3 linked regions of the Lonchura striata genome follow. The protein of the gene in region 3 interacts with the protein of the main gene of each other region in a biochemical or structural test. Links are inferred from orthologs where the notes say so. Each region holds a gene or a part of one and is shown on either strand. Other genes may lie near its edges.

Region 1 (10,541 bases), on a different chromosome or scaffold from region 3:
TGCCACAGCACCGCAGAAAATTCGAGAGAAAATCAAATAATTTTGGTGTCCTTTGCAATGAAACATGAAGTTTGTATAAATTACTGAGCAAGTGTGCTAGCACTGGGGAGTACTTTTTCAGGTAAAAGCATTTCAGAGCTTGGCTAGTCTCTCAGAGGAGTGGTTTTCTAGGCCCAGTGTCCTTGCTAAGGTACATGCAGTTATCTGTAAACACCGAAATTCCTGTAATATCTAGATAGGTCAGGACTGTGATATGCAAGACACTGTACAAGCATGATTAAATACATCTGTATGTACTCCTGTTGACTTCTCTGATTTATAGGCTATGGTCACCACTGAGATCTTGGTTTTGATAATTCATTATGGAAATGTCTGGAATAATTTTTTTTCTTTCAGAAAAATATAACTTAGAAGTCAAAGGTGAAATGAAGTTTAATTTAGGAAGTATTGTGCTCTTTCACAATAATGAAAAATTATATCTGCGTTAAATAACAATGAAACTTGTAAGGGATTTAAAACACTATAGTTTAAGAAATGATTTAACAGTTGAATTGAGAGGGTGGGATTCCTGTGGAGCAGTTTGTCCATGAGGCAGGTTACTTTAGTTACATGGTTCCTCACATCTGTCTATGCAGCATCTGACTGTGGCTGCTGATGGATTTAGCTGCAGGTCATTCATTTCTGCCTGCTGGAGGTTTTCTTTCTTGGTGAGCTGGTATATTAGGTTACCACGATGAGGGAATTCTGAAGAAACAGATGAGGCATGCCCAGTGCCTCAGTCTTGTTTTGAAAGATGATGAAGTGAAAGGCTTCCTTGCAAAGATGTGTATCACACTGAGAGCCTAAACAAACCACTCAAAGATTTCCATCTAGCTGGCAGCCACTGCTCTGCAATGTGTCAGCTTGCTTCCCAGGAAGCTATGTAGCCACGACCCAGCACTACCACAAACAAACACAAAACCAAACAGACACAAAAAAAATCCCACAAAAAACAAAACAAACCCCAACAACTAAAAAATACCACAAAACCTTGGGTAAGTTTGTAATTAAGAGTTTACATTAGGAGTCTACCAGAATGAGAGAGAACTTGCACACTTTTTAAAAGAAATTGCCCTTTTTTTGTTTTTCTGATAAGATCTGTATATAGTACTAAAGTGTCATATATACTTGTGTAAGAATAGTTATGAATTTAGCAGGAAGTTTTAAGTAAATTCCTCAAATATTTTTATATTCTTTGTCTACCCTTCCCATGTGTGAGTAAGGCTAGGAGCACTTGTAGCTCTGCACTATTACCCAACATCAGTGTATGATGAATACATATTCCTAGACAAGGTAGTAATTATGTTCTGATACCTGTAAATATGTAAGTCCTTGCATACCTTTATTATTACATGTAGTTCTGTTGAGTCATAATTAATGTGTGGGAAGAGGTAAGATCATATTTAAAAATCCATTTTCAGCATCAGGTGGTACACTTTCAGTAGTTTATGCTTTTTAATTTGAAGTAACCATTAATGTTCAATAGAAGTGCTCCATGTGGATTGGCTTACAGACTGTTTTGACTCCTCAATTACAAAATCACTTATTTAAAGTCTGATGACTACATGGGTGAACATTTTTCAGGCTCCTGTGAGTAAGAAAATGCTATTTTGCAGTTAAATCTGCATAACCTGCAGAAAGGACTGCCATTGCATTTATTTTGTATTCAGAAAGTTTGAAGGAGTGTTTTTCTGCCTTTTAGTGAAAATTCTAAATCATAAACTTCTTTATAGGACATATTGTGTATGGGAAGACTCCTATGGCTGAAAAGTAGTTTTATTGCTATGTGAAGAATTAATAGCAGTTACCTGTAACTAACTTCTGCTCAGTTCAAGCATGTGTATTCATTCATGCATGAAAAAGATAAAGTAAAATCTGGTTGTGAGTGTTTTATGGATACAGGGTGGTTGTTCCTGGAGCATTACTTGTTTAGCTGCAAATAGCCACAGGCAGACTAGAATGGACTAAAAGAACACTACAATGATATATGTTTTTAAACCCCTATCTTTAATCAACTGCTCAGTTGAAGATAAATTATGTGATGCCAACATAAGTGTATTTTTATAGATATGTGTTGTGTAGAACAGAGTTTTTTCATTTCTTTTTTTGAGTTTTGGAAATACAGGTTTTTCTCCTTGGGTAAGACACTGGCATTTCTGTAGTAGTTCCTAGTTGGAATATGGGTTCCTGCTGTGAAGAAAGTGGAAAAGCTGCTTGGTCTAGGTTTCCATTGGGTTATCTGTTAGACTAACTTTGTAAGAAGGTGAATTAATGGGAGGAGACACTTAATTTCATTTCCCCAGGCAAAATCCCTCTGCTGTTTTTGGAATTACTCAAAGCAGCTGGCATAGGTGGAGTTACTGCTGTACCAGCCATGGATTGAGAAGTGCCAGGTCATGACAGCAGAGCTGATTCAGCTCAGTACGTGGTTGTGCCATAGTGCTGAGGCAGCCGGATGGCTCTGCTGGTGGCACCCGCAGTGGTGGTTCACAACTTCCTCCCCCAGTTCACTCACTTCATCCTAAAGAGTTTTTAGGTAGCTGAAGTGTTTTCAAGCTTTTAGTCCTGCTAAATCAGTTTATTCATGTGGCCTTTAATTTTCTGAGCCGCTCAGATGGTTTTAATGTGGAACAAGTAATTCCTGATGCGGAGTTCTATAGGGGAGCTGGCAATGTAAATCTGTCCACTGCAGGCATGCAGTGTCCCCTCTCATTTGTGACTCAAGCTCATGTGCAAAATTTGTCATCTCATAGGATTTACAAAACTTGCAGGGTTTCACTAGGAAGGGTTTTGGCAAATGTTGTTGTGGTCATAGGCTTGATCTCATGTGCGGGCCTGTTTTGGCATCTTATTGTTAGTTGTGATTCATGTGAGATTCAAAGAAGGTATTTCATTTCCTCAGTACTTCTGTTTCTTCATTGCTTGGAGCACCGTGACTGTTCTTGTGGCTGTTCGTCAGTGCTGAATCATTCATAGATTCTGTGCAAAGAGTGTTGTTCAGTTGATGGACATTGTTAGGAAGTGTAAAAAGCTGTTTCTTCACTTCATACAGAGCTGCTCAGTCTGGCAACTTGTACATTATGAAGGTGACTAAAAAGAAAGTATTCATCTTTTTCCAGCTGAGATGTTTGGAATAGTTGGCTGCAAGTTCCTACAGAGATTGTAAAAGTGAGTAATCCCACTGAAGTCAGCGACTCAACTCGTTGCATAAAGATTGGCGCAGGTAGAAACTGTGCAGTGTGGTCTCCCTCCCGACAGTAAGAACTAAAGTCAGTGTTTAAGTCTTAGTGTTTCATCCTAAACTGAAATCTGTGTGCTCAGTTTTCAGTCAAGTAAGGTGGATTTCTGCTTGAGGCTGAAGTGAAAAATTAAGTCTTTGTTGGTATAAATGCTTGCAAGTATATGTATAGTTTTGCTTCCTAATCAGATAGCTACAGGGCAGTTTGCACTATACAATTTCTTTCACAGTTCATGTCAGATTCTTGGAATCCTTTCTTTGCCAAAGGATTATTTAGATTTCACTGTTTAATAGGTAGCATGAAGAAATCTGTAACACTTATGATATCCTTGCTAGTGGCTGGTTGCTTTTGTCCCTTTGGCTGAAAAGTAGTTTTATTGCTAATAAATTGAGGAATTAATAGCAGTTACCTGTAGCTAACTTCTCTTCAGTTCAAGCACCTGCATTCATTTATGCATGAAATTAAAAAATAAAGTAAAATCTGTCTGTGACTGTTTTATGGGTACAGGGTGGTTGTTTCTGGAGCATTACTCCAAAGACATGAGGGAAGCTAAGGGGAGGCAGGAGGACAGGATCACAGATCTGATCTGCAAGTGTTATGTTGGCTTCACCATCTTTGTTCTTAGACATATATGTGTTATCAACCAAATTTTATAGTAATTTTTTTTATAAATGATTGGAAGAATAACACTTAGAATATTTGCCTTTATATTGTGCTGTAGACATGTCTTACAATTTTGTATTCCACTCTGCTTTCCTTATGTTGGGAGGTAGATGATGAGGAATGAGCTGTTGCTCATAATTTGTAGAGCAAAGGACAGTTTGAGGAAGTTTAGGTCCAAAACCCAGTGTATAAGAATTTATTTTTATTTTTACTTTATTTTTACTTGATAAATTTTAGAATATCAAAAATGGGTGAATTGATTGTATTGATGTCACAGTTGGAATGTACAGGGTTTTTTTATTTTTTTTTTTAATCTTGTATGCAATAGTTAGTGCTGGTTTAAAAAAATCTATTTCCAGTTTAGCAATAAATTTTATTATGAGCGCATTTACTGAGTTTGGATGGTTTTTAATTTTGATTTTGTGAGACTTTGGAAGCGGGTTTTTGTGACAACTTATTTAATTTGATACAGTGATAACATGGAACTTAGAGAAAACTGATTTCAGTGAATTGCCAAATGAGCACTGTAGACTCTCAAAATGTGAAATTTCTCACTGGGGTTTGGGTGGGGTGGTAAAGTGTGTGCGTAAATAAATTTACCAGTCTCTCCAAAAGCTGAAGTAGAAATACAAGACTAGATTACTTATGATGGTCCATCACAGATGTGTGCTTTGTCAAAAGCAAAGTTTCTGTCTTTAGAACCCTTTTGTACACAAAGCAGTGCGTGGAGCTGGGGTTATAACAATAGATGAGTTTGTGTAGCTTATTGCTTTATTTCATGCATGTAATTTTAAGTTTCATTACTTCAAATGCTGTGATGCACTGCATTCAAATCATCTCTAGGCAGCAGCTGCAAAATCCTATACAGACATCTGCTTCTATGACAAGAAATATGTGGCGCAACCACAAGCGTGCTCTAAAAGCTGAAATTTGAGTGTTGTGGTTTAACCTACATAAGCTCTGTTATGTTGAGATAGAACAGGATGAGCCAGAAAATACGAAGAAAGAGTTGGCATTACTTTCTTATGTGTCCATCATGAAAGTGGGAGCTGTAAACAACTCACATGTTTACAGCAAATTACCTCCACAGCAAATTGTTAGCAGTTAGTGTGGTGCTTTTTTCACTAATTGCTGTTTATATAGTGGTAAATTTGAATTCAAAAGAACTTACTTGAACTTTTATGGAAGTTTATAGTTACAAATTCTTTAATATGTACTGCACTGTTTGTTATTAAAAACATAATATTGAAAGACAGGTCCTCTACCTAATTTCTAATCTAGTTTTCTTTATGTGCCCATTTCAAAAAGAATATTTTAATTTCTTCCTTCTCTTAAATGTCTTTTTTTTCTTTTTTAATATAACTAGGAAAGCTTTCTGATATTGCTTAAATGTGCAAAATAGACCAAATAAACACTTTTTTTTTTTCCATAGGACCTTTCACAGATCTTACCTTGGATTGTAAAAATTCTCATTGAATGTAAAAAATTTCTTTGTTATGTGTCAGGTTAAAAATTTATTTGTATTTCTTTACAAATGTATTGGTTTCAAAAATATTTTGTTTTTATCTTTTCAGAATTTAAAGTTTGGTGATCCATCATGGGGAACCATGTAGGAAAAAGAGATCATAGCACCGAGAAGTCAACCAAGGTGAGTGTGGAAAATGGAAAAGACAGAGCCATTTGGGAAATATGTATTCTGTGAACTACAGGGGATTTTTAGGACAGTAGCTGTTTGCCGGATAACTTACTGTTACTATTTTGTAGTTGACACTATAAAATGACCATGTTTTTGAAAGAATGTCAGGCCAAATGAAGATTTTGTTGTGCTGGATTTAGTGAGAGATGTGATGTTTGATCCGTAGCTGATAATAATCTTCTCAGTCATGGTGGAGACGAATTAAAGGGACTTGGAATCAAGATACTCTAGAGTTTTTTAAGAGTTGGTGAGCAGAGTTATGTTCTGTGTGTTTACAGTGTTTCATTTGAGCAATAAAATTGGCTTCGTCTGTAAGACACTATGAAGAAATAGGTAAAATAAGAGGATTTTAAAGGACAAGATTGTCAATCCAAATAGATACAGATTTAAAAATCTCCTTCCTAGGGAAAAAAAATACAAGATCTGTAAAAATGTTCATTAAAAATTAGTATTGGATTCCTAAGCACCTGCTGACACTGTTGTGTATTCTGCACATAATGTGGTTTTCTGTTTGCCTTGTGATAATATCTTGTTTATTTGTTTTTCTGTGTTGTACCGGAAGAGATTTCACACATCTTAAAACAGAACATCTTTCTACATATATTTAAAAGTAGAAAAAACAAAACCCACTGCTTGTTGCTAGCTATTGCTATCTTCCCTCCACACATCCTTATCCAAAAATAACAGTTTACAGTCTAAGCCCACACTCTATAAAGCTATTGCCCTTTGCATTGGACATAAAATGTAAACAGATAGTTCTGGGCTTTATCTGGAGCAGTGTGGGTATTTTGCTTTGCTGTGGCAGATTATCAGCTATCCCCAAAAGGAATACAAACCAGGACTCATACATTTATTAGTTCCTTGCCATCTCCTTTAGGAGAATGCATAGTCACACTGGAAGGGACAGGGACAAAGCATCAGGAACAATTTTGTTTTGTATTGGTGCAGTGTTTTGCAAAATGATTCTGTGGCCCAAGGTTTTGGTTTGAGTACAAACAATAGTATGAATCTCAAATTGCTGTCTTGTGGTGGCTGGTCTTGCAGACTTGCCCTTTAGAAAACTCAGTTGTGCAGAAAAGTGAAATGCACCAAACAGAAACATTTAGCCAGATATTTTGATCCTTTCTGAGTAAGCATGTGAGATCCTGCAGGTATGATACATTGAGTTTACAGAGCTTGATAGGCTGCAGTGCACCAAATACGCCTGCTTTGGTCTTTGAGGATAAAATTTGGTAAAAAAAAATTGTGTGTGTATATATATATACATATATATATATATATATACATATATATATATATATATGCATGAAAACCCACATTGTATCTTGTCTCCTGCTGTGGGATCACATGTGTTTGAGGCATCTGGATGGCAAGTGGCTGAGCTGTGCAGCACATCTGGCTTCAAAATCTAAAAATTCTTCAAATTGTAACAGCCTATGCAAGAAGTGCAAATTCTGTGGTGAGCGAGAGTCAGGTGACCATGAGTCTGCACTTGGGATGTAGGACAGAACTACAAGGAAATAGATTGTTGCAATTCTTTAAAATTCCTTCTTTCTCCCATCAGTTCATAGAGAATACTTGATTTTGCAATCAAAATAAAATTAATTTGCCAAAATTATTTTGCAAAGCAGGAACTTTCTACTGTGATAATATCTTCTGTCCTTCATTCAACCACCTAGAGGGTAAAAAACCAAAACACCAAACCCCTAAACTTTCAAGTTGTCAGTACTTGATCAAAATTTCCCTTTATGCACAGGGATGTGCATGATCTCCCTTTATCTAAAACAGTAATCTTGCCACAAGAAATTATAGGGTCATATATTTAAGGTCAGGAAATATATAGTTAAGGCACTACTATGGATTTAAATTTCATTACTTGGACTCTCCAGGCTATTTACTGTTTACCTCTCCCAAAACTGTAGGTCCAAAGGAAAAACATGATTTTAGGCAACTTCTTTGAACCTTTGAGGTCAGATTTACAGCCACTGTACTGCTCCTTGTCTGGTAGACCATTTCTCCACAGAGCTATTTTACATGAAGCGACATTAAAGAGACTGTTGCCAATTGCAGCAATCCCAGTGCTTGATTGTCCAGTAAATGTCCTTTAATCCAGCAATTACTATTAGATTGGTTTGGTGGTTTCTGGAGTTGACATCTAGCTTAACTTTACTTTTACTTAATTTGTGTATTTGTATTACAAAATTAGAAATGGACTTCTGGAAAGCAATTACTTAATGAAGTGTCTAAGCTGACACTAACATGCTTTCAAATTAGGAAATTTACAGCAGACATTAAGATGGCTTCCCATGCTCTGACACTTCCTTCAAAATATTGTTCGCCTCTTGAGATATCAATATGGCAAGCTACAGCGATTATTTAATAAATAATGAGATACTGTGAAATTAAGTGAATACTTTGAAAAATACTTGACCTAATGTGGAGGAGTATTTACAAAACCCTTTTCTTTTACTCACAGAAATAGCATACACCACCTCATTCCTTTGGAATTTCTTCCTCATATGTTTAATGGATATGCATTTTTTAGAGTTGAAATGCTGCAATGAACCCAGCATATTATCTTTTCTTTTTACTTTGAATGATACTAGACTTTGCATCTGCTTAATGTGTTAGTAAATGTTTAAGTATTTATTTTGTTTGCTTTCTTCTTAGTGTTAATATTTGAGTTTGAACTTAACATAAATATATCTAAGAACAACAATAACAAAAAGAATAGGCTGTCCTGATTTTCTTTAACTTCTCAAAGAGCTACATGTAGAAGAGTGAAAATAGACATTGGAATTTTACTGGTTCAGCGTTCTAGTTGGTGTGTGCTAATTTGTCATCATTATACTACAAAGTGGCACAATCTTTTTTTACAATGACTAAAGCTGCCTATGTTACAACAGCACAGTTCTCTGCTACTCCTCATTAAAGAATTCTGCATGGCACATTACTGCCATCCCAATATCTTTGAACTGTCTTGCTATCTGTCAAAACTGGCCCTTAATGTCATTAATTGTTCAGGAAGAGGGGTTTGGAAGGAAGGTTTCTGGCATTGTCCCACTTACTCCAGAGCAACTTCCAAATGCACTTGGTCCACATAGTCTGGTTTCCATGGTTACATAGTGCTGTGGGGAGCTGGAAATCAAGGTTGTGACCTATAGTGAAGGATCAAAACCCGCTGCCCTGCCGTGTCAAGGGATTGCTCAAGAAATTTATACAGGCCTGGGACATGTTAGATTATGGGAAATGCTGGATTATCTGCCTGGTTCATGTCCTTTATGTAGTTGGCGTGTGCTGTAAGAAAACAGCAAGGAACCAAACCAAATTGCCACTTCTGGTACCCAGCTCTGAAAAGCCGTGGAAATGTAATTGCAGGCCAAAACTGAAAACAGACATAATGATGAATAGGCATTCAGTCTGCAATTTAATGTTTTCTTTGAACTAAAAATAATCTGTTAATAATGATGAAGTCTTGCTGGGTAATCAACTTGTGAAAAATCTTGCCTTTAATTGCCCTGTGTTATGTACCTAGATTCTACAATGTGTTTTGCAGTGGTTGATTTGATGTAACTTTAATAAACTGACTGGTTCTCAGTGTTTAAGGAGAGTTCAGCATAGTTAGTTCAAGCTAAACTGCTTCAGTGAACATGTATCAGTAAATCAGATAGTTTCTATGCTGCTTTAGAGGAGATTCTATTTCCTCTCCTCTTTTTTTCCCCTGTTACCTTGTTAATGTTGTGAAATTAGGACCCTGTCTTAAGACTGTAGTGGGGTAACACTGATTGAAAATTTTCTGTCTATTCCTGGTGAAAGGGAGTTGAAATTCTTAAGATGACTGGAACACAGTGGTAGTTGAACTGTTCATCTCGTACATGCTCAGCGATTTGCAAGCATGAAGCTTTCACTACCTCTCATGGCTTAGGCTGCTTACAGGTCTGAGCTGTATGTGTGGTTTCTGCCAGGTGCTTCCTCTTGGTATGCATCATGAATTATCAAAAAAGGAAAAAAACAACAGATGAAGTACTTTTTACTTGCTTAGTTAGTTGCTCTGAAGTATTATTTTTGTAAGATAAAAGTTTATTATTTTTTAGTGCAGACAGTTTGTGACATAGAGATTGTATGGATCTATATTGTATGGATCTGCCTGTGACATAGAGATTGTATGGATTTTGAAGTCTGGGGTACACTTTTCTGTAAAAAATAAACATAAAGAAATAATCTTATTACCATACAAAATTAATCACGGAGCCTTTTCACTTTTTTCCCCCTAGCAAAGTAGTATAACACTATTTTTATTTTCCAGTGTAGCTATATGTTTTCTCAGAGTTTTACTCTTTCCTGTAAAGCAGTAAAGAGCACTGGAACTATTATGGTGCATTCTTTGCTATTTCATGGATTGATTAAAACACTCCCCCTTGAGCCAGTGTGTTTTCCGAAGGCAAGTGAAAAGGAGAAAAAAACTTTAAAATGTGTGAGAGATTTGGTGAGCATTTTCACAAGTTAGATATGCTCTGTAGAATCCCTATGACCAATCTGTGTCTGGTTATGCTGGTGCCTGGTACAGGGAACCGCTGCTTTTGGAAGAGGCAAATCTTCAGGGGTGTGAGGAGAAGCTCTGGGCAGTCAGGTTCAGCAATACCAGTTGAATTTGATAGATGTCCGTTTTCCTCGTGTTCTACCATCAACCTAGCTTTGCCCTTGAGAAAATCCTCATGTGCTCGCTCTGTCATCCTATTTCATCTCTTAACCTTTGTGCTGTCTAACTGGATGGTTTGTTGGGGTAGATGCAATATCATTCTGCATTAATAGTAATGTTTGGAGACCTTGAGTGGACCCTTCAGGCACTAATGTGCTTCTGCTGGTGAGATGATATTATAGGGATACAGAAATGACTGTACTGT
Region 2 (10,811 bases), on a different chromosome or scaffold from region 3:
GAAGGATGAAATTATATGGTCCCATTCCTCATTCTTTGTATCTAACAATACTAAGACCAGGTCAAATCTGCTCAACAGGGGACTGCCAAGAGCTATGTTGACAGAGACAGATTCATTGGGATCATAATGGCCTTTAGGGTTTGTTGCTGCTAGGATGGTTGTCCTCGTGCTAAGCTTGCACACCAAGCTAGAGAAAGGTATGGTGAACATTGTGGTTGAATTAAATTAGATAGGGAAAAGGATTTCAAAGTGCTTAAAAACTTCTGTGGTTTTATCCTATAAAAACCACATCTTATCTTGAAAGATCATGAGAGCTAAATAACGTACACAATTATTGTATTAATATTTATTATATGTACATCATTTTCCAGTCAGAGAACAGCAACTAGACAGACACTGATCTGGATACCAAAAGGCACCAACCAACATCGCCACAAATAATCTCTGTACATAGCTAGATCCTTAAATAGTGAAAACCGACACTACTTTTCAGAAATAAATATTACATTGCAGGACTGTACAATATGCAAACACTTCTGAATGCTGGAAAGCAACACTTTAGCTTAACTCATCTTCTAAGAGAGGAAAATAAAATGTGACATGAATGTAAGTTTTATTCCTGTGTATAAAAAAGAATATGAACCCAAGTTAACAGTGATGGCAACCATACCAACTGAAACAGCCATTTTCCACTCTTCCTAGCATGTGCTTGTGGATATAAGGAGAGATTATTTTTACTCTAGGAGTCCAAATGTACTCCTTTTGGGTAAGGCAGCAGCAGAAGCATTCTAATTTTGGTTTGTCACTGAGCTATTTCTAGTCAGCTCCTGAGTAACTGCTGCCTCATGTCCAAAGTTCTCCTGTAACTGAGAGGAAGGACCACAGATCTTCCACTAGCCTAGGAAAAAAATTTATTCTCCCATGCACCAAAATAAGACCTAAATTAACAAGGTGCTTAACTTATGTGTGCTAAGTTGCTATTGAAAAAATCCTTATTATGTGTAGTCCTTAAACAACTGAGCATCTATGTGCAAGTTAGCAAACTGTTTGGGTCTATCAAATCCAATCAACTGCATCAAGGAACTAAGCTGAAATATGTCCCTGTCTTACTAAGGAGACGGGACCATATTGATCCACGTATTTGTGCCCAGTTGGCAAAGGCTGGTAATTACCCAGGTGAGAACAACATGACCCTGAGTTTAGCTCAGTTGGTAAGAGCATGATGCTAAAAACACCTAAGTCATCGGTTTAATCCCCACACAGGCCTTCACTTAAGAATTAGATTTGATGATCCTTGTGGGTTCCTTTCAACTCAGAATCTTCTGTGATTATTTGTCTGCTGTCTGATGAAGAGGATGGAGATGCTCAGAATAAGGGAAGGACATGGTCAGGTAGATAAGCCAAGATGCAACTAGAGCAAGAGCTGAGTGGAAGGTGGTAAGAAGGAATGTGGAAAGGGTGATGCCTTTTGAGTAGCAGAGATGTCAGAAATACCAGCCAGAAAATAATTTGGGCCTGAATAAGAACTGCATATAACTGATAAATTGAAATATGAGCTCAAAGATCTAAGTGGTGGGAAGGGGTAGTATGGGGAATAGCAGATTTGAACACACACTACTTTGAAAAAAGAAAGGGAAGGACTTAAAGTAAACAGAAGTTTATATTTATGCCACACCCAACATATAAAATTCAGCAGCCTGCAAATCTCTTGGAAAATACAGCAGCCTTGAAATCTCCTGATGTGCTTTGGTTACCAAGGTTACTGGATTTTACTGGACAAGAGGACATAGCCTCAAGCTGTGCCAGGAAAGGTTCAGGCTGAACATCAGGAAGAATTTATTCACTGAAAAAGTGGCTGCCCAGGGAGGTAGTGGAGTCACCATCCCTGAAGATGTTCAAGAATTGACTGGACATGGTACTTAGTGCCATGGTTCAGTTGATAAGGTGGTGATCAGGCATAGGCTGGACTTGATGATCTTTGAAATCTTTTCCAAACTTAATGACTCTGTGATTTTGTGGTTTTGGAAAAATGAAGCCCCACTTTCTGAGTTGCAACAAAAAAAGTCACAAAGCTTCTCATTTCACATAAGATTATTACAACCACTTGTAGCAAAAGGCAAGAAAAAGAATGCCAAGTCTTTGCAGAAAAGTGCCCCATCCTGTAGCAGTAGATTGAAAACCCAGCAGCGAAGAGGGTATGTATTTAGTCTGATTGCTTGTAGCCTCTGGTCTAGTGCACTGTCCTATGAAATGCTTACTTGTCTAGTTTAGGAATATTGTTGACAACAAAACTATTGCATACAATGAAGAAAACAAATATATTTAATCAGCATCCCTCCAACAAATAAGTACAAGAGAAAAAAATCTCGTGTTGGTTTCTTACATGTGCTAATATGCCACTTACCCTGCCTTTGCAACACTGATGGTTTGTTGCTCCATTGCCTCGTGGATACTGGTTCTGTCATGTTCTTTGATACTATTGAACTCGTCTATGCAACAGAGGCCTCCATCTGCAAGCACCAGTGCTCCAGCTTCCAAATTCCACTCCCCAAATTCCTTCACAGCAGTCACTGTCAAACCTGAAGAATCAAATACTTCAGTCAGTCTCTTCCTTAAAATGCAAGAGTAAACTTGAGTGAAAGAAAGGGACCCAGCACAGTGGCTTGAGCCATAGACAGAGGATAAACCAGCAGGAAAGGTCTATCATGTACTTCTACCACATAACTTAACTCACTTTACAGCTACCAGCTGTAAATCCCACTAGTGCTGAGGTAGGTTAGCTTGGAGCTGTGGAGCGGATTCTGTTACGCTTCCCATGTTTGGATTGTGACTTGTTTTAGAACTTTGTTAAATGAACAAAAAAGATTAGGGTATGAATACTAGATCTGGTAGATCATACTGAAATTTGAGGCAAAGGCAATAATTGTAAAATTATGGAATGCACCCATTCAGGTCTTCCTCCACATCAACTATTAAAATGGACAGAAATTTTGGAGCTTCAAATCAAAGCTTGGAAAAAAAAATAAACTAATAAAATTAAAATTTCTTTATGAGTTTTTGGTTTCCTCTAAGCATTAGGCAAAAATGAAAATCCAAAGATGGCCAAGAATGAAATGAGGGAAGAAATAAAAAGTTTTCCAGTAAATATACACATGATACAACACTTGGTGGATAGCCAGACAAAACCCCCACATTACTGTGGAAATGTCCACTCATTAGCTAGTATGTGCAGCTCCCTCCAATCTTTCTATTCCCTATTTCCCTGCTTCTTCTCTATCTTTAGCCCTTCTTTTCCATTCCAGTGCTCAGCTCAAAATATCCTAGTAGTTGACAAGCTGCAACCAGCCTAAAATCTCCTGCAATTCTACGGCAAAAACTGCACAAGAATCCCCCCTGCCTCACCATTTGGCTCATCATCAAGACCTTCTCATCACTGTGCAGCCCACCATAGTACTTATTTGTTTGCAAATGACCAGCAAAAAGTTACTGGAATTAAATGCTTCCTGATAAAATAATATGTACTTCAACTTGTAGTAAGAATTCTGCTCCACCATGTCCAATCTTTCTTGGTTTTCCTGGACTGTGTGCCGAACAACGTGGGCAATCAATCACACGGCAGAATACAGAAACACAGAGTACTAGGCAGTACTAGAGCCTGGCTGCTCTATTTATTTCTGAATATTCTGCTGCTCTATTTATTTCTGAATATTCTGTGCTGGGGGTACACACCTTGCACCCCTGGAGCCACGGGCACTTTCTGCTCTCCCCGGGGCCGTGAGGGACGTCACTGGCACTGCAGTGCTGCATCACTCTGCTCGGCGCTGTGCCCTGTGCATGGCAGCCATGGGATGGCCTCTGCTGCAGGCTCCTGCCACCACACAAGATGTCTTCTCCAGCTGCACACAGGGCCTCTCGCTGGCAGTGCTGCTGCCCGGGCAAAATGTCCTGTCTCGTAGTGCTTCAGGGTACCCCAGCCTTCTGCCAGCAGAGGAAGGGGATGGCTTCCTGACAGCACGGCCGTGTGACAGGCACGCTTGGTTCAGCAGCAGCACTCGGGGCCGTGCAGACAGCCCATCCTGCCCGGGGCACCCAGCACCCCGCCAGCAAAGCCCACTGTGCCCAGGGCTCCCCAGCCAGCAAGGAGCTGTATCCCGGTACGGACATCCCGGGCCATTGGCCAAAGGCCACTGCCGTGGGCTGCAGGCTCACGAGCCTGGCACCACTGCCCGGCCCCACTGCCCTGAGCTGGGGGTGCTCCTGGCACCCGAGAGCCCACCAGCACCCAGCACAACCAGCACAGAAGCAGGAAGATAAAAACCCACCAAACAAAGCACAACAAAAACCCAAAGTGCTGAAATGATCCCAAACTGAGAGCGTCCCTCCACACACGGTGGAGCACCACAGGCAAGATGGTTTAGGCTGTAAGTGAATCACTGCTTTCATTCTTCTTAGGGGATGGTGAAAGCTTAATGCACGTTCCTACTTGATTAGACTCATTTTGTGCATTCTGACAGGAAAAGTGCTTGTTCTGGGAGGTGTTGGGAACAATTTCATCATGAATGCTGGACTGAGAGTAGTTTTTCCCTCTTCCCAAGCAGCCAGTGTTGCAGTTGCTGTTTATACAATACTGCACAATCTTAGCATATAAAAAAAAAATTAGGATTATTTAAAAAACTTCTGAATCTTCCCTTTTATAAATAAGGTTAAATAAAACTTTAAAATGAGCTGTAGTTGCAAGCAGTTTTTTGTCTTACTGAGATATAGTGATTCTTCAACTTTTTGCCTAAAGTGAATGGACAAAAGGTTATATTTTTGTCACTGTTCTACCCATGGTTCTAATTTAGTATGCTATTTTGCCCTACTATTCTTCCAGCCTCAATTTCCAGCTTAGGGCACTTTCCAAGCTGGATGTGGTCTTACATTGTTTACAACTTGCAGAAGATGGAACATTCTGAAATGAAATTAATTTCTTCTTCAGCTCATATGGTTCACAACTTTAAATATAATACACTTACACAAGATGCATTTTCTATAGATGAATCTAAACCTTATCAATTTTAATAAAAGTCATTGTGGTAGGCAGGGTAAACACAGTCCCTTGAGCTATATGCCAGCAATTGAAATGAAGTCGCATCTTAGGACTTAATTTTCTCTTTTAAATAAAATCATTACAAGGCAACAGCTTTTGAAATAAGGTAGAGTCCCTTTTGGTCGTGAGTGGAGATCTGACAAGTTGTGTGGTAAGATCGTTCCTCCTGATTTTCCCCTTGCCTGGATTTTAAAGCACACAGAAGAAAAGAGAAAAAAAAAAAAACAGAAAAAAAAAAAAAAAAAAGCAGAAGTAGAAGAAGAAAAGAGATAAGCTCAGTCCTTTTCCGGGAAACAGAGCAGCAGACGTTCCGCGCCTCCCTCAGCCGCACCCGGCTCATCTCCCGCCCCGCCCCGCCCCGCCCCGGCCCGTTGGCGGTTGCCGGCGGCCGTTGCCGGCGCGCGCCGGGCGGGGGCGCTGCGGCGGGGGCGGCGCGGGGCGGGCGCGCGCGGAGGCCGCTCTGGCCGGCGCTCGGTGCCCGCCGTGCCCGCGGAGGGAGGGCCCTCGCCCGGCGAGCGGCCAATCCGGGCGGGCGCTGGCGGCGAGCAGGAGCAGAATGGGCTGTAGTTGAGCGAAATAGGGAAAGCGGCGAACAGTGTGGAGCGTTCCCGGTGTAAATAAAAGGGGGAGGCGAAAAAAAAAAAAAAGTTTGTGGAAGTCGCCGCCCTGCAGCCTCGCTCGGGCAGCGGCGCGGGGGCTTGTGCGGTGCGGGAGCCCGGCACGGAGGACTTTAGTGCGCGGCGTTAAGACGCTCTGCCTATTGTTTGTGTTTTTTTCCAAAATATGGCAAAGGTTCAGGTGAACAATGTAGTGGTGTTGGATAATCCTTCTCCTTTCTACAATCCTTTCCAGTTCGAAATCACATTCGAGTGCATAGAGGACCTGTCTGAAGGTGAGTAGAATTTTTCTCCCCGATACGGATTTTGCAACCCCGGGCTCTGAGCTCGGGGCATTTAAGGCTTAAACTTTGCACAGGCCTGCGCCTACAATTTATCAGTCTCTCCAGCTCCGCCGCATCGCCGTGCCGAACCGGGGGGACGTGCCGGCCGGGCGAGGGGATGTGCCGCTCCCGCCGAGCCCGGCGCCGGGGAAAGTTGGCGGTGTCCGCCCGCCCTGGGCGCCGAGCCGGGCCCGCCGCCTCTCCCCGCCATCGGCGAGGCGGCGAGCTGCCTCAAGTTGCGAGGAACTTGTTAGAGTGGAGGTAGCCATGTTGCCAGCTTTGTGTGTGCGTGGGGGGAGCGAGCGGGAGACAGGAGGGTTGAACCGGGCTCGGCGGCCGCGCATCCCCGCGGGCACACGGGATGCTGCCTGTTTAGCCCCGGCGGTACTCGAAACGCGGAAAACGCTCCGGGGGATGCGTTTCGATGGCCTCGTGCTCCATTTTAATACCAAAAAAAAAAAAAAAAAAAAAAAAAAAAAAAAAAAAAAATTAAATCACGGTGGAAGGTAGGGGCGGGCTGACTGGCTGGCCCCGCATGCCAGCAGCAGGCAGCCGCGGACCGCGTAGGTGCGCGGGGTCGGGGGTACGGCTCGGAGGGGAGCGCTGGCTGCGGGAGCCCCCGCCGGGGAGGAGGGGGCCGCCCGCCTGCCACTATTTTTGGAAGTCACTCGAAAGTTGCCGGCAGCCGCCAGCGGGTGGGGGCCGGCCCCGACCTTGCAGCCTCACGGGGACCCCCGTCCGGAGCCGCGGCCGCCGTCGCGCTCCCGCCTTCCCCCGAGCCGGGCGGGCCGCGAGCCGCCCTCGCCCCGGCCGCGCTCCGCAGCGCCGCCCCCCGGGCGGCCGCGGGACGCGCCCGAGAGGCCGCGCGTCGCCCCGCGGGCGGGAGTTTCGAACGGCTCGGGGCGAGGGAGGCAATGCGGGGCGCCGCCGCCCCAGAGCAGGAGGAGGCCGCCCGGCCGGGCTGCCTGCGAGCCGGAGAGGACGCTGCCCGGCCGGCGCTCGGCGGAGCCCGGCGCCGCCTGCTCGCCGGAGAGCCCCGCGGGCGGAGGGGCGAGGGCACGGCTGAGGAGAGGGGAGTTGCTGTCCTGGCTAAGGTGCCCTGGCAGGCTCGCTGTCGCTGCGGTTTAACTCGCCTCTCCCCGCCTGCCTCTGCAGCAGCGCGTACTCGCGCGTGCCGGCGGGACGGTGACAGCGCGGGAAAGGAGGGACGCCGCCGTGGCGGGAACTTCGGAGGAAGTCTCGCCTGAGCCAGGGTTTCCTCCGGGCCTCCGCAGCCTGTCTCCTGCCTTCGTGCAACTCAGCTGTGCTCCGTGCCCCGCCACGTTGCTGCCTGGCTATCTCCGATCGGCCTGCCCCATCAGAGGTGCAGCATCGGAGCCCCTCCGTGGCAGCCGCAGTGGCAGTGCCCGTCACAGGGGCTCTGCAATATGTTAGGCTTTTCCTGTATGTGATGTGCTCCTCACACTCAGGATTAAGTTAATTTGGACAGTTGTGATAAGAAGAATTATAGGTGGTCCAATGCGAAATTCTCAGTTCTTTTCCCCCACCAACATGGAAGTTAGACACTAGGATAAATTAGGGATGAGCGCTGCTATCTTCCACATTTAAAAATAAGATTAAACACAGACATTGTTTACTTGCTGAAAAGTCATTGCCTTAACTTTCCTATGCTAATACGTCTGTTTACTCTGCTGTTTTCCTCTGCAACACTGATCCTAAAATTAAATCCATTAACTCCAGCCCTCTCTTTCTCAAAGTTGTTGTTCTGTGTCAACATACTTAAATAACATTTAAACTTTATTTTAAAAGGTCTAGTTTTAGTACTAAATACTATGAGTTGTTTAGAGGAAGTTTCACACTGTTCGAGAATAATGGCACAGGATTGTGGGCTAGTCTTAAGCAGTTTAGCCTAGAAGTCCTCACTTCTTCTAAGTAGTAATTTGTTGTCAGATGCAGAAAAGAAAGTTCCTTAATTATATTGGATGAGTACCCTGCAATACTAGCAACAGCTTCATGCTTAAAAGGTATATAAAACTGATAAAGTACCTGGGAAAATATGTTGTACAGAGGAGTAAAATCCCTTCCCAAGCTGCTCTGTTTATTATGATAGTTAAACCTGCACTAATAGTAAATAAGATAAGCAAGAAGAATTCACTAATGAGAAAAGAGAGTTGCGAACTTAAAGCAGGCAAATTCTGTTCCAAGTGCTAATTTTTTTTTTCTATGCTTAAATTCCATTCCTGCATCCAGAAACCATGAGGCAGACCTTTGGATTTTGCCGAGTGTGCTAATCGAATTAATGTAATAGCTCACAGGTTTGTGCTTTTGCAAAGGCAATCAAGGCATTGTTCACAAGGGGGAAAAAAAGAAAAACACCGTGTAAGTTTTTAAGATACAGTAATTAAGAAGTGTTACAGTTTTTTGTCATGGTGGTCATTTTTTTCCTCTTGTTTTAATAACCCCAAAATCTGTCTTCCAAGATTAGTTTTGTATGTGTGAAATAATAACTGGTTTTTGAATCAAAAAGGGAAGGTGAAAAGCTGACCCAGGAAGAGCCAATTTGGGCTAATTTGCAGTTTCAACTTTAAAACATCTGTGGGGAAGAGGCCGAGTTAGAAAAAATTAATGTCATGCTATCAAATTTTATGTAGTTCCCACGTAACACAAGTGACATATGAAGGATTGGGAGCATAGAGTTAGTGTGTCTGGAGCTTACCCAGTGGGTTTCTTACTCAATTAACTACTTTCCATTATCTATGTAATTTATTTAAGCTGTGAGGTGTGTGTGTGGAGGGTGGGAATTTTGGTTTTGGGAGTCAGTATTCAAGGATGTGATGATTTATAGGCATTATCCCTCTGCTGCTGCCATTCTGACAGACTTTGAGAAGATGCTCAACACAGCACCCAATCAGTAAAAAGGCCCTGTTCTCTGTATAAATTAGGAAAATTAACCTTAGTGTTAGAATAAAGGGATTCCTGTGATACAACTGACTAGAAAAAGTGGGATGATCTGGTTCATGAGGACAGGGTCATGCATCACTAAATTTTTCTGATGAAGACAGGTCCTTGTTATTTTAGGCTTGTTGCCAAAGAAGTAGTTCTAGCTATGCAAAGCTGTAGATGGGTGAGAGTGGAAGGCCCCCTAACTGTAATGATAAATAATGTTTGGTTTTTTTTCTTTTTTATGTAGATTTGGAATGGAAAATAATTTATGTGGGTTCAGCTGAAAGTGAAGAGTATGATCAGGTGTTAGACTCTGTTTTAGTTGGACCTGTTCCTGCAGGAAGACACATGTTTGTATTTCAGGTAAGTTTGATTTAGCTCTTTCTAAAAGTTGTGCTAATTTATTTAGGGATAACTGTATCAAACTAAGAGGCACTTGAAAAATATTGGTAAAAAAAATTGCAGTGAGCTCCTCAGTTGTGATATGCCTTCCTTTAAACTCTGTTCTTGAGCTTGTACTTCTTGCCCCTTATACTTCTTGGTTATATTTTTTATTTGTGGTATCAATAATAGCTGATAAAAGCACAGTTCCCATAGCTACTGATAATTTTAACCAGTCTGGTTCATAATCAGCAGTGCCAGTTGCCTGGTTTACACCAGCACTATAAGGCTCACCTCTTCTGCTGGAGGTGGCAGTTTCAGACAATCAGGAGCACTAGGTTAATGTAGACAATGCCTTCAGAGGATCAGAGCAACAAACTAATTGTAAAATTAGTTTGTCTCAGACAGAATAATCAAGAAGCTTGTTTCTGTTTGGCAGAACCATGGTCAACTGTGATGTTTGGCTAAGCATGCTAAATCATAACAAAGTACAGTGATTTCTAAAATAAAATAAAATAAAGATAGAAATTTGGTGGTAAATGGGAGGTATTTAGGACACTAGTGTGTAGATTAAGACTGTGCAAAAAAGTCTGGAACATGTGACAGTCCTGTAAAATACTGCTGTTAAAGCCAAAAGTTAATAAGGAATAACAAAGGAAAAGAAAATGGGGAAAGAGCAACACTAAGATGACTTACTGGCCTAGACTAGTTTCTGTTTAACTCAGTAAGAAGCAGGGGGGAAACCTGAAGTGGACTTGCCCGAATTCTAACAGAAGCTTTCTTGTTTGGGATAACTTCTTTTGTGGTGGTGGGGTGTTTTTGTTTGTTTGTTTGTTTTTTATTCAAAACTATAATTTTTATTTAAAACATTTTCTAGCATTTATTTTTGTAAACGGGCAGCAAAATCCATTGGATAAAAAAAATCAGATAGAAACTGAGTATGTTTTATTATATAAGAATTCTGCTATTTTCCCAAATGCTATAAATTCACTTAACTAATGACAAAGGCATGCTGAAGTAAGAGCATTAAAGAACCCCAAAGTTCTGATGAAGCTGATTCCCTTATTTGTCATGGTTACTGTAACTGGTTTGAAATAATATCAACATTTGTGAGGCAATCCTGTTTAATCCTATAAGTTCCAGAAAAGGTAGTTTATTTGGCATTTTGGGGGTGTTTGTTTATTTGGGCCTTTTTGTTTTGGTTTTTTCCTTAAAGAACAGGCTTAAGGAATAGGATTAGACTGGAGGTTGCTGCATTTATCAGTGTTGAAATGTTCTGTTTGGTTTTGGAGCCAGGCTTAATTTTTCTATGCTATGAATAAAGCAGATGTGTAACAAATGCATCATTTATTAACAGTTTTTCCATTATCAAGCCATTGTAGCTTATGGCATTAATTGGTCAGAAATAGGTGATTCTCTATTGCTCTCAGAGGGGTTACGTTGTGTTTGTATAGTGGA
Region 3 (10,589 bases):
TATTTTCTAGTATATTATTTATGCATGTTTTTGTTACCTTGCAACTCAGAGTTGCCAGCAAGTGCCATATTAAAAAAATTGTAAAGCATGTAGTGCACTATATGGCTTAAGAATACAGCTCTAAGTCAGTGAGCCTCAGAACTGATTTGAATTCTAAATAACCTTTTCCTATAAAAGTGTTATTGCACTAAACCAGTTTTAGAAAACTTTAACTAAACTTTAAAATAAATGTTAGTACAATTGCAACATTCCTATTTGCTTATAAATAGAAATGCTTTGTGAGAAACAGGTGCAGAAGCTGTTCCAATCTGAGATGGTATTCTGAATGTGTCAAAACTGCATTCTGAATCTTCTGACCTACAGAACACAGACTGGAAGATTCTAGTCATTATCCCAACCCAGACTGGCCAGGAGCATGTTGGTCTGATCCAGGGAGGGTCCATACATGTGCTCAGCTGTGTTAGGAGAAGGAAGGACAAACTTCTAGCACTCACCAAGACAGAAGACATTTTTTTCTGTTATGTTTTTGCAGCATATTGTATTACATCTAACCTAGAAATGTCAGAAATACATAATTTTGATGGTGAAATGATTTCAGCATTTTATACACAAGGTACTATACCAGTATGTCCATGTAGTTCAAGAATATTTTTCTACTATGCTAGTTAAATGAGATTGGCTGCTGGTGTTGGCATAGCTATAGGATGTGTGTAGGTCTTTCTATATATAGGGTAGGTGAGTGCATGTGTGTACATATTTTTATGTATAAAATTCATAAATACTGGCAAATACACAGTGAGGCATACTGTAAAAGCTTATGCTTTAAGAAAATACTACTATGGGTCTATTATCTAGTGTTAGGCTGAAAAGGAACTAACAAAGAATTTGAAACCTCCATTTCACTGGCCTTACAAATAATTGAGGAGATAAATCAAAGGATTCTAAGTCTTGGTTGTTCTACAGTCTTGCGCCAAATCCAAGGAGATGGAAGAAGCTACATGTAAAATAGATGCCAAAAGCATCAGAGGTAAAGACCCTAATGAATTCTGACTCCTGCCATTTCCCTGATTTGTAGCTGACAGAGGCTGATTTAAGTTTGGAAGCCTATGGTTCAGCATATAGTTTACTACTTTTCAGGGATATTGTCATTTCTTGTAACACTTCACTTTCTTTCCTAAAAGAACCAGCCTGCTTAATCAATTTCCTCTTCTACCTCTACTTCTTCCAATCATCTCTTGAATTGGAGGCCTTCCTTCTAATTACTGACATAATTTAAAAATGGTCTTATTTGGAACCTCTGTGTAAACATCCACTATTTATATAATCAGTTACCTGGCGTGGTCAGTCACTACGCCTCGGTGTTGCAGTATCTGCTGTTTGCATGAAACCTAAGCCAGCTAATAGCAAACTGACTTTAGTGGGAAAAACAGAAGTAAATATATGCAGTTATTAACAATATGCAATATTTGATGTTATTAGATACAAATCTTTCATGAGGACACCATAATGTATTTGGTGCCTATGAACAATGAAGGTGAAGATCTCAGAACGGGGAAGGAACTGCCATATCTCTGTAACTTGTCCCACAGTCATAGCATAGACTTCCTTAAGAACATGTGGGATAAACTCTGCATTTTGTGTAATGTTTGAAATGATGTCTCTTTGTTCTCTAAAGGATGTATGTGGAAATTTTGTAATTGACATTTGACCTGAGCACACAGTAATCTTTATAGATGCAAGGTAGATGTCTCCAAAAATTGTCACTATTCAGACCATTAATTTTTTTTCTTTAAGCATCTTCCTTTGCTATTTGCCAGTTAACTTCTCTTACTTCCTAGAGATTGTGAAATTACTGTGATTAAAGTTTCTTGCATTGATAATTCCAGTGACAAATTTGAAAGCTCTTACAATTTTAATGCTTTTCAGGATTTTGGAATAAGAAAAATTCCTTATGCTTTTCTGTTTTTCAACTATCCTCAATTAAACACTTACTACTGCCATAAACATTGCTAACTTTCATTTGACACATTCTTATGAGAAAAACAGCACACACACTTTTCACTCCTTTCTGTTCTGAGTTTTGAGGTCTTCTTCCTTAGGAATTAGCAAAACTAAATGAGTTTCCTGGGACTTCACCTGGAGTCAAGTTTTCCCTTATAGGTAGGTGTGTGGCACCTTATTCATTGTTATCCAGAGCAATCCCACTGAAAGTTGATTCCCTCTATCTACTACCTCAAGTTATGCCTGATGTTAATGGTATGCAGTGGTCACATAAACCTTGATAGCAGACTATTCTGTTCCTAAAAACTAGAAGGCAAAGAGAAAGATTTAATACTTATTGTATTTTAAAAAAATAATTAGTAATACTTAGTACTATTTGAGTTGGATTTAGTATTTAATATTTTGGGCAGGTGATGCTGACTGACTGTTCACCACTGTGAGAAAAAGGCCATTTCTCTGGCCACTGGATCATAAAGTTTTACTGCAGAAGAAACACAGGGCATTCAAGGAAAAGCATTATGTACATTTACGATGCTATTTGATAAGGGAAGTCTTTTGAAATTTGAAATTTCTGAAAGGTACTGAGGAAGGTTTCTCTCCTGCCATGATAGTATTAAATTCATAACACTGAAGCAATGGGGCTTTACAAATAAAAGGGTATTTTAAAAAAAGTGTCAGCTCTAACTCAGTAGGAAAGTAGGTTTTCTGTAAACTAAAGAGAGGAATATACCCAGCTCCATGTATTCTTGAAGTTATGTATGTTGTTTCATCTGGAGATGATCTATATAATTTACACTCTGCTTTCAATCTCTACATCAACAATTCATGAAACCAAGAGATACAGCTCTACTATGTTACAAAATGCAGACTCAACCCATACTTTGCAGCAGGTACTGTGCTCTGCTGGGAAGTCCTGTAGTGCATGCCCACTTACTCCTGGTCTCTCGATGAGGTGTTGTCTAACACATTATGAGATGGCAAAGGTCTGATTATATTTCATAGCATCAATATTTGAAAATATAAAAGACACTTCAGCATTTTTATAATATTTAATCTGCATGTCTGATAGAGGAAATAAAGAACGGGATCTTCTGCATGATGTCCTGTTACCTTAATCAAGGCAAATAATGCTTTATTTAAACAAGAAGTCTTAACTGTGTCAGTAGAATGATTTGTAGGCAACAGTTAGTAAGCAAAACTGGAAGAAAGAATGCTTGCTTATGCATGGTTTTGTAAGGATAGCAAGGGTTTGTATGAAGTGGATGCAAAGAGCTATAAACAAAGAGACAATTTCTTAATTTCTTTCACTTACTGCTTTTTACTTAGCAGATTTTGAAAGAAGCATGCTGCAGCAGGATATATTAATCAGGAAACAAGGTGCATGTTCACTTATGCTATCATGGATTGTGGGATTATGTACCTAGCAAGAATATTCTATACCAGCTGCTAAGTATTAATACTGCAGTCAGAGTGAACTAGCACTGTTCTACTTCATTCCCAAGTATTGGAAATTTCCTGATGTAATTTGCTTATGTAAAGTCTGAGAAGTCTTTAGGATCAAGTCCTTATTAAAAGCAAGTCCTTGCTGAAATACCATATCACCTCTCTTAAATATATATATATATATATATAACTAGATATATGCCCTGGAACAGACTTGTTTAGCAAGCAAACATACTAATTTTTACTTTTAGTTAATACCAAACTGTAAAGAAACTTCCAGCTATGCTGTATACTTGTGGGAGGTGAAGATCTTAGATAATTTCACAGATGTCACTTTAAAAGGAAGAGACAGAATTAGTAATATGTGTGTTGTGCAGAGAACTGCAATCCAACATTAGTAATCTATTCCTGTCATTCTCAAATAGAAGGGAAAGTAGGTTAGTAGATGGACAGGATGTCTCCACACAGCAACCACAAAATAAGTGCCATGCCTGAATGATGGATATATTCTTCATATGCATAAAATGCAATATATCCACAACCCGTTGATTTTTTGTAAGTAATCAAACTCATTGTTATCCCTGTTATATATATAAATATAAAAAAATATATTTACCAGTTGCACTGGCAAATTAAAAGGCTTTGTTTCAGAAGTGATTTTCCATATATCTCACATTCTCGGTCACTATTATGTTAATTTCAAGGAAGAAGAAACGGAAAAATTCGGCGAAGTTTGCACTTTAGTCTCTAAACTCAAGGCAAAGAGAGACGTTTTGAAATTTGCCAGGTCGCTGTTGGTGCCCACCTGGGAGCCCCAGCCTGGCGGTTGAAGCGGGTGAGGTGGTGGGCCTGGTAAATGGCTCCTGCCCGACTTCCAGTTCATCCGATGGGAGCTCCCGCTCCTCAGCGAAGCAGCTAAAGCCTTCTCCCTCGGGACATCAGCTTCTCCCGAGTGCCGCCGAGTCTCTGCTGGCACACCATCCTGTCCGGAAAAAGGAACGCCGAGAAGCGGCAGGCGCCCGAGAGCTCCCGGCGATGCTGCCTGAACAACATTCACCTGGATCGCGCTGGGAAGCGCCGGCTCAGCGCCGCCGCTGCCGCCCGCACTCCGGCAGCGGGCTGGGCTGGCCCCGCGCGGCCGCACGCCGGGGAGGTGTCGGGGCGGCGCGGCCCCGGCCCCGGCCCCGGCACCGCGCGTACCGTCTCCGTCTCCGCCGCCGCTCCCGCCCCCGCCGCCCCGCCCCGACACAACCATGGCCGTGGCGGCGGGGCGCGGGGGAAGGCGCGGCGGCACGGGCGGACCGTGCCGCCGGGGAAACCGAGACGGAGGGGAGCGCCGCGGCCTCAGGGGAGCTAGCTCCGGCCGGGCCGCGGCGGCCAGAAGGCCGCCTGCGGCGCGGAAGGTGCGCGCTTGAGCAAGGCAGGGAGGTATCGCCGCGGGACGGGCGTGCACGGGGAGAAGGGTCAGCCGGCGGGCGGCTGCGAACCGGCCCGGGTCGGAGCCCGGAGGCGGGAGCAGCCGGCGAGCTCGGGCCGCGCGGCGCGGTGAGGCTGGGGGCAGGTGCGTGCGCGGCCGACGCCGCTCCCGCCGGCCGCCCCTGGGCGGCTCCGGCTCGGCGGGGCTCGGCTGGGCGCCGGCGGAGCGCGGCGCTCGCTCGGCTCGCGATCGTGTTTGCGCATGACCCCTCCCCGCCTGCGCCCTCCCCTCCCCTCCCCGGCGGCAGCGGCGGCGGCGGCGGGGAAGGTTGGCCTCAGACACAGGCGGCTGCTCGGCGGCGGCGACGCAGTGCAGAGGTGCGGGCAGGTTGCGCTGGCCCCGCGCCCCGTCTCTCTCGCGCCCCGCCTGCCTCCGGAGCTCGCTCCCAGCCGGCGGCCTCCCCGCGCCGGTGTCGGGCCGGCCCCCCGGCCATGAGCGCGGCGCTGGGTGTCCCCCCGCCGCGCCGCCTTCCCCGCCGCCCCCGGCGGCTGCCGGGCTCCAGGAAAGTAGCTTGATGAGTGTCCAAAGTAGCAGTGGAAGTTTGGAGGGGCCGCCATCTTGGTCCCGGCTCTCCACGTCCCCACCGAGCCTGCAGGGCTGCTCCGCGGCGGCGACGGCCTCCCAGCTGCACGGCGCGCCGCCCGGCAAGCCGCCCAAGGAAGGTAACCAGCGCGCCGCGGGGCTGCGCGGGGGGCCCGGCCCTTGGGGAGGGGCCCGGCCGCCGCCGCCGGAGGCCGGTCCCGGGCCGCTGGGAAGCGGCGGCGGGAGAGGCCGGTGCCCCCGGCGGCGGCGCGGGGTCAGCGCCGGGCCCGGTGGTGGCGAGCGGAACCTCGGTCGCTGGGCGAGCGGGGCCCCGCCGCCCCCGCCCGCTCGTCGGCGCGGCGGCGCCTCGTTGTTACCCCCCGCGCCGGGCCGCGCAGGGGAACCCGCCGTGCTCCCTCCGGCCCCGGGCCGTCCGCCTGCCGCAGCCGCTCGCGTCTCCTCGGGCGGCCGCTCGCCGCGTCCTCCCCGAAATAGGCTCCCCTCCGCCAGCGGCTGAGTAGAAGTGCTGCGCCGGAGGATGCAGCCGCTGTTGCTGGAGGGAGTTGGGCACTTTTGGCATCATGGAGGTGGGAAGAGAGGGGCCGACACCGGAGGTTCGTCCCCGTGGGGAAAGCGCCCTCAGGGGCGGCCGGTTTTGCGGCCAGAAGTGACAGGGCGCCTTGCGGCCGCCACGGAATGACTGCAACTTTCTCCTGTCCTCCATCACGCCTTCGATGATAATATTTTTCTCCTCCCTCCCCTGCTCCTCCCCTCTTGTGTTACACCGACAGCGACAGCAGGGTGTTGTGGGTGTTTGCAGGGAATATCTGTATGAAGGTTATGAGCAAACAAGTCCCTTCGCTGTTCCCTTTCGGGTATTGTCTGCTTTTCCTCCTTGTGTTGTGTTGCCACAAGATGTAGCAGTTTTACAGCTAGTGAGTTGTTCGGCGCTTTTAGCTAAAATAACTACTTGCCGAACGCCGGTTAGTGGCGGAGGAGAACTTTTATGCACAAATGCTTGCATATTGAGCAGTTGTATAATTTTAATTGATTTGCCCCAGATTAATGAATACCATGTAGCTTCTGCAGAACGTCATCGCCCAAGCAGGAAACTTGCTAACTTAAAATAGAAATAGTTGCGAAGATGGAGAGTCTTTGTTTTTTAGGTCTTCCTGTGGTTGCTTGCTTGCTTGCTTTTTGGGTTTTCTTGGGTTTTTTATTTGGTTGATAAGCAATATAGGGACTTAGTAACAGGGATTCGACGTCCTTAAAATGTATAATGCAGTCTGGTTTCTCCATTTTCCACACCAGTAGTTGTCAGACTTGTATCACTCTGTGTCACTTTTGCACACGCTCCTGCAGGTAGATTGACATGAAATGCTCTAGAAAATACCTGGGAAGGAATTATGGTATATGTTAAAGATGCTGAGTAAAGTGGCAGGCATTTTGTGCTCGTCTTCTCTGGGAAACCAAAGCTGTTAGAAAAACCATCAGCAGCCAAATTCATAGTTTTAAGTTTATTGAGAGCAGGTATTTTCACTGTTGCAGCTCTTGTTAGGAATATGCATACAGATAATATGTATATGTAGGATATTTTTGGATGTATTTCAAATACCTGCCATTTAAATTTGAAATTATTATTGCAATATAAATTATCTATCTATTTATTTTAACAAAAAATGGTGGTCCATGAGTAGCTCTGTTGAGACAAGAAAAATATTTTTTGTGAAGCTCATTTTTATATGCTCTTTACATTTTTCTTTCTTACAACTCAGGCTGTTGGATTTTTCCAGGTACTGTAATTTGCATCCTCTAATACAGATTATGGGTTAAAAGTAATCAATACCTTGGTGTTTGTTTGGTACTATAATGTGTTGTATTTTTATAGTGTTCCTTGGTTGTGTTTAAATTGTGTGTCCTCACTAGGTAGCTCTCTTTGAAAATAAGCATAAGCTGCCGTGCTTGGGTTCATGTTTTGCATTCATGTTTGTGAGATGTTATCAAGGCATCTTACTTTATATATGGTTTACAAAGAAGTAGCTTGCCAGAAATCAGTAGGCCCTGAAATATAAATATATTAGTATGTTCATAGGCATTGGCTTATATATGTGAAAGACTGATGCCAGATCAAACTAATAAGCAAGGAGTATTTGCAGTACAGTGTGTTTATGGGAGCCTGGGCTGTCATCAATTCTAAACTTGTGATACCTGGGGCTTGTGAGTTTTGGAGCAGTGCACAAGGCTGCCAGCCTGCACTGGATCCCAGCTGCATTGCTGCTGGTGCCAGTTTTGAGTGGGTAATATTTACCATACAGCGCATTTGGCACTTGTGCAGAGCTTCTTTCCCAGCTTGGCCTTCTTGTTTTGGGTTAAATCCCTTTGGTTGTCTCCTGTGAGAGTTATGTCCCTGTTGCCTTTGGAAGTGCAGACCTTCATGGAGTGTACCAAGTGTGCTGTGGTTGATCTGACCTCAACTATGAAGGTCTGGTATCAGCTCACATGTCTCACATGGGCATTTGAAGATTCTGGTTTATTAAGAGCAGAAACCATCTGCACGTTGATTTAGGAAGTTCTAAAAGTATTTTCGGAATCTCTTAATAGGAAAAAAGCAAAAAATAAAAGCTCTAGCATATATGACAATTGCACAAACACATTTTAAAAAACTGGCAATATCTTGTCAATATCAAGAGACTACTTGGGAAGTATGGGTGAAATTAGAGGAAATAATAATTTAAAAATATTTTAATCTTTTAAAATGTGCTGCAACGTTGCAGCAACATTTTCCATTGGATGCTATCTTCTATATCTTGATCTAGAGTGGCCTCATGGCTTTGCTGTATTGATTTGATTTTTTGTTTTGAGGTTTTGAAATGAAAAGACTGGGATGGACTTGAATACAGTTGCAGCTGTACACTTTTACTGTATAAGAACTATCTCTTGTTTGCATTTTAGTGTAGCTTGTAAATGTCTGTCGTTCTGTCAGTTGTTTTATATTCCCATAACTTACGTGTGGTATATGTGGTCACTTAAGAGCCCTGCAGTAGATGTTATCAGGAATTTAGGAGGACTGTTATGCAGTATTATTTTGCATACTGTATGTGTGGTTGTGTGACTGAATCTTCTGCCATCGCTCACATAATTGCAGTCAAGCCATTTCCTGTTTGAAGTTTCTTTACTTTTGTCTGCTTTGTGTCTGTAACTAAAAATATTAAAGCACATACCTGCAGAGTGCTGTTTTGTAAATGGAGAATGTTCAGGCCAATGCTGACAAGGCAGAGTCAGAAGAGATTCCATAGGTTGTCTTGCATTGGAAGGGACTGTAAAGATCATCTAGTTCCAGCTCCCTGCTATGGGCAAGGACACCTCCTTCTAGACCAGGTAGCTCAAAGCCCCATTCAGCTTGGCCTCGAACACTTCCAGGCATGTGGCACACTCATCTCCACAGCTACTGGAGGGTCAGCCTGTTCCAGAGCCTCACCACCCCCAAAGTAAATAATTTATTTCTAATAACTAATCTAAATCTACTCTGTATCTATTTAAAGTTGTTGTCCCTTATCCTGTCCCTTCATGCTCTTGTAAAAAGTCTCTGTCCAACTTTCTTATAGGCCCCTTTTAGGTACTGGAAGGTCCTGTATGGTCTTCCTGGAGCCTTCTCCAGGCTGAGCACCACCGACTCTCTTAGCCTGTCTCCATAGCAGAGATGCTCCAGCCCTCTGATCATCTTTGTGGCCTTTGTCTGGGTTCTTCCAGCAGGTCTGTGTCCTTCATTGCTCTCCAGGTGGGGTCTCAGTAGAGTGGAGTAGAGGGGCAGAATCCCTTCCCTTCACATTATAGACATGCTGCTTTAGGACATGGTTGGCTCACTGGGTGGGTGGTGCTGCAGTGTCTGGTAGTTAAGCATAATGCTTTGTAAGTTATTTTTTATGTGTGCTGTTGGCTAAAAGCAAAATGGAATGCCAAATAGAACTTCGAATTAACACAACAGGAATACAAATTTCAGTTTTCAAATTTCATCCCGAATTTGTATATGATGGCAAAATGGTAAATAAACTTATGCCATGTATTGACAGTCTTTGAAGAGCTTATATTGTATGAGTAGCACATTTTGTTGGTGATTTTTTTCCTAAAATTTGATAAATGTGTATTGTTTGTATTTATTGTTACCTAAAATGTGATGGTAGTTATGTGTCTGAGCACAAAGGTACAGTTTATTTCCTCCTTAAGTTTCCAGTCTAGAAAATGCTTCTAGATGCCAGGTTGCATCTGTATGCTGCGTACAATATATTAGTCCATGAACATGAAAGCAACCTGAATCTTATTAAACTTCCAGGGTTGTTGTTTTCTGTTGTTTGCACATAGTGCAAAAGCTCAGCTACTTTGCTTTAACAGGAAGTTCTCAGTAAGTTTGTTGGCTTTTATCATTCAACTGTAGATTAAAAATTTTATGGATTTGGCTAGTTTATATGGGGCCAGAGAAGAACAGGAACACTTTTTGTATTTAAAAATGATGGCATATTTTTACTCAGAATGAGCACAGCAATCATAAAAGGTTATTTAGGCTGGCTGTAGCATGAGCAGGTGTTGTCTGAGATTGATGTTGTGCCAGTGATGCACACAAATTCTAGCTTGTGATATTATTGCTGGTTTAGTTGAAGATGTGATTCTCGTAGTGAGCTGATGGTTATGCCAAATTCTTTGGAGATCTTGTAGCATGTCCAAATGAGAAATGGGAAAGGAAACCTTTTTTAATACAAATCCTTTTTTTGAATCTGGTTTTTTAAAACACAAGTGCTGTAGCAAATAGAGTAAATTAGTTCTTGGCCAACTGTTTTGTTTTAATTCTGTTTTACTCTGCCTGGAATGGAATTTCCCATTAACTTATTCCATTTTAAATGGAGAGGGAATCGACATAGGGACAGGATGTTTATTTTTATTTTCATTCAAGTAAAAAACTTGCTATTTCTCTCATTCTTTTTTCCCCCCCCCGCTCTTTTTTTTTTTCTTGTTTGCTTTTTTCTTTCAGCAATTAATTTTTTTCTCCTCCAAGCCGAAGTAAGCTTGCTCATTAGAAATAACTGTAGTCTCTAGTTAGTATTGACATTTCTTTGGATTTTCTTAGAGCCTGATAATCCTAAATGATTGCAAA

What was found.
Region 1: the proteins of TLK1 (region 3) and MBP form a complex in vitro, tested with the Homo sapiens proteins (2 studies listed by BioGRID, with this or other methods). The link is inferred for Lonchura striata from reciprocal best matches to the Homo sapiens genes TLK1 and MBP.
Region 2: of the proteins of TLK1 (region 3) and ASF1A, one has a biochemical effect on the other in vitro, tested with the Homo sapiens proteins (3 studies listed by BioGRID). The link is inferred for Lonchura striata from reciprocal best matches to the Homo sapiens genes TLK1 and ASF1A.

Annotation. Positions count from the first base shown.
Region 1 is NC_134603.1:59,595,433-59,605,973, reverse strand, and holds the start of MBP (myelin basic protein), read left to right. Parts: upstream 1-5,515; 5' UTR 5,516-5,538; coding exon 5,539-5,589; intron 5,590-10,541. UniProt on the Homo sapiens protein: The classic group of MBP isoforms (isoform 4-isoform 14) are with PLP the most abundant protein components of the myelin membrane in the CNS. They have a role in both its formation and stabilization.
Region 2 is NC_134605.1:65,190,525-65,201,335, reverse strand, and holds the start of ASF1A (histone chaperone ASF1A), read left to right. Parts: upstream 1-5,554; 5' UTR 5,555-5,872; coding exon 5,873-5,981; intron 5,982-9,219; coding exon 9,220-9,335; intron 9,336-10,811. Other genes in the region: DNA helicase MCM9, read right to left, coding at 1-187, 2,405-2,579. UniProt on the Homo sapiens protein: Histone chaperone that facilitates histone deposition and histone exchange and removal during nucleosome assembly and disassembly.
Region 3 is NC_134610.1:20,253,776-20,264,364, reverse strand, and holds the start of TLK1 (serine/threonine-protein kinase tousled-like 1), read left to right. Parts: upstream 1-5,354; 5' UTR 5,355-5,435; coding exon 5,436-5,583; intron 5,584-6,015; exon of another isoform or gene 6,016-6,057; intron 6,058-10,589. UniProt on the Homo sapiens protein: Rapidly and transiently inhibited by phosphorylation following the generation of DNA double-stranded breaks during S-phase. This is cell cycle checkpoint and ATM-pathway dependent and appears to regulate processes involved in chromatin assembly.